Linked DNA regions of Struthio camelus. The main gene of each other region encodes a partner of the protein of the gene in region 2 in a complex. Links are inferred from orthologs where the notes say so. Each region holds a gene or a part of one and is shown on either strand. Other genes may lie near its edges.

Region 1 (3,901 bases), on a different chromosome or scaffold from region 2:
CCATTTGTTTGTTTGTTTTTAGGGGGATAGGATCAAACATATCTATCTTTTAGTATTGTCTGTAAAGGGAGAAAAACATGGATTTAGCAAATTTTCTGTTCTGTATGGCTTAGATATTTCTAAAACATGGAAATAATAGTGTTTCGGCACACAAATACTCCCTTCCCCCTCCCCCCCGGAGTAGCACTAGAGTGACTTTGTGTTATAGAATTAAAAAAAAAGAAAAACGAAGAGTTACTGCATACCTGGGACGCATGTCTAGCGCTCTGCTGGAGCTCTCGTTTCTTTCAGAAATGTCACGTCGTGGTTTTGAACGGAACTAGTCTAGGGTTGCTCCCCCCCCCCTTTTTTTTTAAAACTCCCAAGACACTTGTCTATTCTTTTTGTCTCTTTAGGAATACTTAATCCCGCTTTGTTGAAAGTAACTTTTGATGACGAGAGGGCAGCGGCAGGGTCCCGCAGGTACCGCTGGGCAGCGGGACGGCGGGGCCGGGGCGGGGGTCGCGCTCGGCCCGGGCGGCCTTTGTTTCACAGCGGGCAGGCCAGTGCCGCCCGTCCCGCCGCCCGCGCAGCGGCCGTCACCGCGCCGCCGGGCCCCGCCGCCCGCTCTGCCCCTACCGGGCTGCCCGGGGCGGGGCGGGGCGGGGCGGGGCGGGGTGGGGCGAGGGGGCGCGGCCCTGCCGCCGCCGCCGCCGCCGCGGGGCCGTCAGGGGACACGGCGGCCCCGGGCCTCGGCCCTCGGCCGGCTCCGCCCTTCCGCCCCGCCCCCTGCACCGCCGCGCCGGGGATTGGCGGGCGGCGTGTGTACACACAAGGGGCCGAGCCAATAGCGCGCGGCGGGCGCCCGAGCTCACGCGGTGCGGCGGCCAATGGGAGCGCCCGGCTGCCAGACGCCGCCAAGCTTGTGCGGGGGAGAAGGACCCGGGCAGAGCACGGCGCGGCGGCGAGCGGGGCCGGGCGCGGGGGGAGGTGGCGGCGGCGGCGGCCGAGCTGCAGTCGACGCCACCCGCCGGGGCTGGCGCACCGGCCCGGGCGGGCTCCCGTCTGCGGGGCCTCCTCGCTGGCGGCGGGTGCGCGGCGCCGGCCCGGCCGAGAGGCGTCTTCTCCGCGCGGGGCCGGGCGGAGCGGCTGGCTCCCCGCCTCGCCGTCTGGTAAGGGACCGTCGCTGTCTCGTCGCCGCGGCGCCGATGCCTAGGCCGGGCCTGCGCCGCCGCCGCGCTCCTCCTTCCTTTCCCCCCCCCCTCCCGCGGGGGCGCAGCGGCGGCGCCTCCCCCGCCCCCCCCCCCCGGCGCCCCGCGGCGTTTAACGGCTGCGCCCGCGCCCCCCCCCCCCCGCGCGGCGGCTGGCGGCTCGGGCGCGCGGGGGAGGCGGCGGCGGCGCCTGCCGCGCCCGGCGGGGAGTCGAGCCGGTGCCTGGCACCTGCGGGCGGCGGCGGGTGACAGCCGCCCTGCGCGCCGCGGGAGCGGGCGGAGCGCTACGCTGCGGGCCGGGCCGGACTGGGCTGGGCCGCCGCGGCGGGGGCGGGGGGCGCTGCCTCGGCGGCGGGGGCCCCCCCCCCACCCCCCGGTAGCCGGAGCTCAGCCAGCGGCTCGTGGCCCGGCGAGCCCTGCGTTCAGCCTCGCGTGGTTGCGCTGACTGCCGGATTCTCTCGGGGGAGGGTTGGTGGTTTGAAAAACAATAACAGCGTGAACTAAATAGACGCCTCTTCCCGTGCCCTCTGAGTTGCAGGCCTCCTCTGACTTTTCAGCCGAAACGGGTTTAAAGATGGAGAGGAGTCCGAATGTAAACGCAGCCTTTCGGGTTTAGGAATACAGATCGTAAAGGCATGGCACAACAATAGCAGGAAAGCATAGAATAAGTAAACTTCCTTGAGATGTGGAAGAAAAAAAACACATCTGGGAACTTGCTTCCCCATGGAGCAGAGAGATAGTGCTGAACTATGTGTGAGAGCTCGGACGGTTTCTTCATATGCTGCCTTCTTCTGTAGAAAGGACTCTGGTTTTCATTTTCTCTGTCGTTTTTTATGATAGTTAAGCTGATATAATTTAACAGATGTGCTGTATAATAATGAAAAATGATTATATGCAATTATTTTAATGAAACTGCGTTAATACTTTTAACAGTTGATGAGTCTTTTTCAGTGCTATCCCTTACATAGTTTAGCGTTGCTGATAGAAAAAAGTCAACAAACTATATGTTATGTGATGTTATTTTAATTACTTGCCACTTGATGTAATCTTTGATTAAAAAACAACTGTATGCTGCTATGAACTGATGCTACTAAAAGAGAAATGAATGAATTATTTTCCAGCGCTCTGCCCTCCCCAGGTTAAATCTGAATCATTTGATTAGGATATATTTTGTTTTCTACAGAAAACATCATTTTATGCATGGACAACGTCTCATAAAGGAAGATCAGTGTTGTAATACATATGCAGAACTCTATTTAGCAGCTTAGGTTTGTGCCAGTGTCATGTATGCGCAAAACCATTGTGCATAGTCAAGTCCTGAATTTCAGTAGCTTCTGTTCAAAATAGCATCTAGTATGCTAAATATAGCGCTTTGAAAGAGCATGGAGAAGTTCATGCTATAGAAAAGCCTTGACAAGAGAAGTAGTCACAAAAGAAAAAAAGTACAGATATCTCTTCTTTGAAAACTTTTTTGTTGTGAAGAGAGTCAAGTGCTTCTACTAGAGGTAAGAATAATAGAGCGAATAATTTAGTGTTATACTGAGGAAAAAATGGAAAATGACTAAATATTAGCAAGATTATCTCATATGGGTTGAATTTAAGAGCAATCTTATTTTACTGTCAAATTCATTGGGCTTTCTTTTAACCACTTCCTGTTTGCACAGAAATCACTGTTTTTGCACAGAGGAGAAAAAAGAAACTATTTAACTATTAGTTTGCTGATGTAGTTAGCTTTATAGAAAACATGCATCACTGATAGGCGTGCTCTTCATTGCCGCAAAAAGTTCTGATTGTTGTTCTCGCTCTACAAAATGATAAGGTATAGTTTTCAATACGTCTTGAGCCCAGCTGCCTGGTATAGAAGGGGTAGGCCAAACAACTTAGTTGGGCAAAAGGCATAGTGCTGTTTTGCAAGAGATCTGATGCTACATGAGAAGTCTTTGCTTCTGCTTTTGTGTACGTTGGACTCTATTGTAGGGGCCTCTTGTGCATCTGGACGCACTTGCTGGACAGTTGTGCGCCGCTTCAAAATGAAGAAAAGGCCTTGCCTTTCAGCATCTTTCTGTGGGTTTGGCTAAAAGTGCTGTTACAGGACTAGCCAAAAAAAGGAACCAAATTTCCAACTTTCCATCCCCTTCTAGAGTGTATATCGTTAACTGATTTAAGGGAGCAGACCACTTCATTGTACCTAGAAGAGTTTGGTGCAATTCTCTAAAAGCAAAGGGCAATTAGTGACCTGATATGGTTAGGGAAGGGAAGCTGAGGCCCATGCTGCGTAAATACTAATATTTACGCCCGTGGGTCCTAATTTGAATCAGAATGGGTTCTTTAGTTATAGCTAATCTAATTCAGTTCTTGGAGTTGATTTCCTTGATATGCTACCTTAAAATAGCATTCTTAGCCCTGTCTTTATTCTGCTATGTTTTCTTAAATTGCCTTTTCTGCATGCTTTTTTGGTATAACGATTAAGGATTTCTCACCCACCTTTCTGACTATATTCATAGAACGTGACTACTACTAGTGAAACAATAGTGAATTTTAAAATAGAGTGAGTTGATTATCCTTTTTCTGATCTAGTGCAAGAAAATAAACTTATGGAGTTTCCGGGTGCAAAGCCAATCTGAATCAATCAGACAAGTTTATCATAAAATTTAAGATATTCAGTGGAAAACAATCCTTAGTGGAATAATAGTACATATATTAAATCAAAG
Region 2 (3,901 bases):
GCCCAGGTCCAATGGCATCAAAAAAGGAGCATGATCTTTTGGTCTGTCAAGAAGTTTTTCATTATTCTGCATCCTGGGGAGGAAGGCAGCTCATGCTGTCCTTTAGCAGCACTCTAGCGCATGGACTGTTTGGTCCAAGGCTTTGTACAAGGACCAGCTTGTACAGTGAGATATAATACAAAAGCTCTGCTGCTGTGGTCACATTCAGGCCTCTCTCCGTTCTGTTCTAGTATAGCGCAAACGGTACCGTGCAGCCAGGGCTATCTCCTTATCCAGTCCCAGCACATCCCTGAGCAGACGGTCTCTCTTCAACTCAACCACTGCTTTTGCTGTCCAAGTGCATCGCTGCCAACCTAGTAGCCTCCTGCCTTTCAGCACTGATGAGCCCTTAGAGCACTTCTGTCAAAAACCACACCTTTCCCCTACTCCTACAGATCAGGCAAAGTCTGCTACAGCCCAGCTTGCCCATGTGCTCCGGCTGAGCAAAGAGGTAAGAAATAATTCCCTGCCCAACATGAGCCCAAGAGGCTTCGATCTCTGCACAAAGACCATTCTTACTCAGCGTTCAAACTCCAGGAGCAACAGGATATTTTGTAGTTCTCACACAGAATAGAGATTATGGAGGAACTAGGAGGCAGAGAACATCCCAACTAATTTCAGGCTCTCGGCCAGGATGACTAAACCATGATCCCAACACTCTCAGCGTTCTCTGCTCTCGCTACAGAAAAGGGAGGGCATCTCTACAGCACCACAGTGTGATTCAGCCCAGCAACGCCTCAGCCATCCTCTGGAACCGCTCTTCGCTCACTGGAGAGTCTCAGGCACTAGACGCCTCACTCAGGACTCGGATGCCTAAGCTGAAGTGGTCTGAGCTCCAACCCTCCTGCTGCACTTTAGACTCACCTGAAACTCCATCCTCACTAAGATCTCAGCTCAGGTCAGCAAAACAGGCCCAAGGCCTTTCCAGTAACGAGACAAGACATGAGGCGATGTTGTGGCCAGTCAGTGAGGACTTGGATGGAGGCACCCACCCCTCAGGTGCCATGCCAGAGGCCAGGGACAGCCTCCTTTCCCAGCTGCTAATGGATATGATAAATGAACATCCTCACCAAACGCCATCGACTTCCTTCCATGTGTCCAGCTGTTCTCTTACAGCTTATCCATGCCAGAAGTCCCCCAAACAACCACAGTATCTGCAACCCTCCCCAGAAACACCTGCTCTCAGGAAGTGCCAGGCTCTCACTCACCTCCTCCTGTGTCCATTTGACTTTGCACCTGCTGTCCCGCTGTTCTGACACATCCGAGTCAGTATCCTGACAATGCAAATCATCTTGGTCCTCACTGAAGAAAGAAACAAAAAAAGGTTATTGTTTCTTCCTCCCATAAAGAGACAGCAGAAAGAGCAACCTCCAGAGCAGAGAGCAGAGCTCCAGATCTACGGTCTTCCCCATGCTGAATCTCAACACCTCACAGACATTAACTCGGATACAGAAGGTTTAAAAGGGGTCCTCAGCTTTGAAATCTTGGTGTGTGCTAGCAATTCCTATGCTGCCAAGAGAGCAAGGAAAGGAACATTTCTCTTGATTTTTGCTAGCTTTTCCCCTCTGGGAGGGCTTTGTGTCTAAGGGCTGGCACCACTTTCCATCTCTGCAGATCATCAGTCTCCTTCCTTGATTGCCGGTGTAAACAAAAGAGATGAAAAAAGGAGGAGAAGCCAGTCCCAAAACAATTCAACAAGAACAAAATGGTCTGGAAGGCCCCAGAGCAGCTCTCAGAAGAGAAGCTAAGTGTTTTGGGGCAAGATTTCGAGGGAGAGGTCATCTCACACCACCCAGGCAGGGACTCCTGCAAGCACATCCCACCAGCACTGCACCCACAAAGGCCAACGATAACAGGGAGATGCTGGGCAGCTTTCTGCAGCGGACTGGGCAGCCCACACCACGGAGCTGCGCTGGCCCTGGGAGAGTGATCCTGGGGGCACCGACTGCTGCACATCAGCAGCCCCAAGCACGCGCTTAGGTCTCCTTTACCACTTTTTCCCTGCTCAGGGGCAGGAACAGGGCACAGACCACGGCCTCGCCAGCGGAGAGGCCTGTGGCACGGAGCCCGCCACACCAGCGAGGGCAAGCGGGAGCAGCCAGCCCTGCCCCAGAGGGCAGCTGAGGAGCGGGGGGCCGGGCCGCTGCCCTGCTCCGAAACGCAGCGCCCGTGCAGCGGGGCTGAGCGGGGCGCCGGGCAGGAACAGGCCGAGGCAGAGCCCGAGGGCCCGGCAGTGGGTCCTGCCGCCTGCTATGGGGCAGGCTGGGCCCCAGGCGCCGCGGGGGTAGTGGGGGGGGGGGGGGGGAATCCCGGGCTGGCACCCGCTGCAGGCAGGGCCGCCGCCGGCCTGCGCCTCGCCTCCCCCCAGCGCTGACCGCCCGCCCGCCCGCCCGCCTGCCCCTCTCCGCCCGCCCGCCCGCCCGCCCGGCGGGAAGGCGCGGGCACGGAGCCCCGCGCGCAGGCGGCGGCCCCACTCACCCGCGGCTGCGGCGCGCCATGGCGGCCGCGGGCTGGCGGCGCGGAGCCGCAGGTCGGGCGGGAGCCGGGCCGGGCCGGGCCGAGCCGGGCCAGGCGGGCGGGCGGCAGCGCGGCGGCAGCAGCAGGCACTTTCCTATCTCGCGCCAACTGCGGCCCCCCCCGCCGCGGGGCCGGGCCGCGCCTGCGCGCTGCGCCCCGGCGCCGCCCGCCCGCACAAAGAGGCGCGCGCGGGACGGCGCAGCCCGGCCCGGCCCAACCCGCGGGTCCCCTCACGGCCCGGCCCGCGGCTCTCTCACAGCCCGCCCCAGCCCCGGCCCGCGGGTCCCCTCACAGCCCGGCCCCGCTCCCACCCGGCGCAGAGCCCCCCTCAGAGCCCGGGGCCTCGAGCAGGACCCCCAGACACCCTTCCCCGCTGCGGGCCGGCAGCCCTCAGCGCGACAACTCGTGACAAAAACGTGACAGTCCGCTCCCTCGACTGGCGGGCCCCGAGGACGGCCAGGGACCCCGGCACGGGGAGCCCCCTCGCAGCCCGCCCTGCCGACGAGCTCAACGCTGAAACGCCCCCGAGGCCGCTTAACCGTCCGCCTGCGGGGAACCGCTCTCCGTAACCTGGAGTTGAAAAAGAAAACCGCGCCGGGACAAGTCTAAAGACAAATCTTCTCCTGCCCTCTCTGCCACCAGCCCCCGCGTGGCCACCCCAGGACCCCTCGGCGCAGCAGGGGCCTCCTCGCGCCCCTGCTCTAACCCGCCGCCGCTGCCCGCGTCCCTCCTCGCCGAGGGGCCGCTCGCAGGTCACCCGCATGGGGCAGGGGGGGTCCCACCGAGGGCCGTGGCTATCCTTGCAAAACCTAGCACTTTTCGGACACAGATACAGGCACAGGTTTGCCTTTTGGGGTGTAAAAGAGAGGCCTGAACCCCTCAGGGCACAGCTTCGCTTAACAGGCAGTCCGACAAGGCGGCCCTAGGAGGGGATCTGCGCTGGCCGCGATGCGGCCGCGTCCAGCCTCTTAGCCGCAGACCACCGAGCATCCCCGCAGCCTGCCGCCCGGCGCTGCTCCCTTCGCCTTCCCGGCACCTACCTCCCATCGAGAGGGCAGAAAAAAACCAATCAGAATTAAACACCTTCCCCATGCTGCTTTTCCAGCGCCACTGCTCCAGGGGGGCAGCGCAGGATCCCAAGCGGAGGGCACGGGTCGGCACGCTCCCAGCAGCTGGGGCTCTCCTGGAAAACCTTCACTCTACCTTTCCTTATCCCTTCTTGCCAGGGGGCGGCACTGTTATACCACGCACACAAAAAAAAGCAGGCCTGAAAAAGAAGCACAAGAAGTTACCCGAGTTATAGCTGTTCTTGAACACACCAGGAATTGGCACCACCGTATTTTGG

Evidence for each region.
Region 1: MYBL2 (region 2) and TFDP2 share a complex: the UniProt entries of both Homo sapiens proteins name them as parts of the DREAM complex. The link is inferred for Struthio camelus from reciprocal best matches to the Homo sapiens genes MYBL2 and TFDP2.

What each region holds. Positions count from the first base shown.
Region 1 is NC_090950.1:15,383,445-15,387,345, reverse strand, and holds the start of TFDP2 (transcription factor Dp-2), read left to right. Parts: upstream 1-1,036; 5' UTR 1,037-1,151; intron 1,152-3,901. UniProt on the Homo sapiens protein: Can stimulate E2F-dependent transcription.
Region 2 is NC_090959.1:5,763,383-5,767,283, forward strand, and holds the start of MYBL2 (myb-related protein B), read right to left. Parts: upstream 2,607-3,901; 5' UTR 2,538-2,606; coding exon 2,518-2,537; intron 1,342-2,517; coding exon 1,248-1,341; intron 1-1,247. UniProt on the Homo sapiens protein: Transcription factor involved in the regulation of cell survival, proliferation, and differentiation. Transactivates the expression of the CLU gene.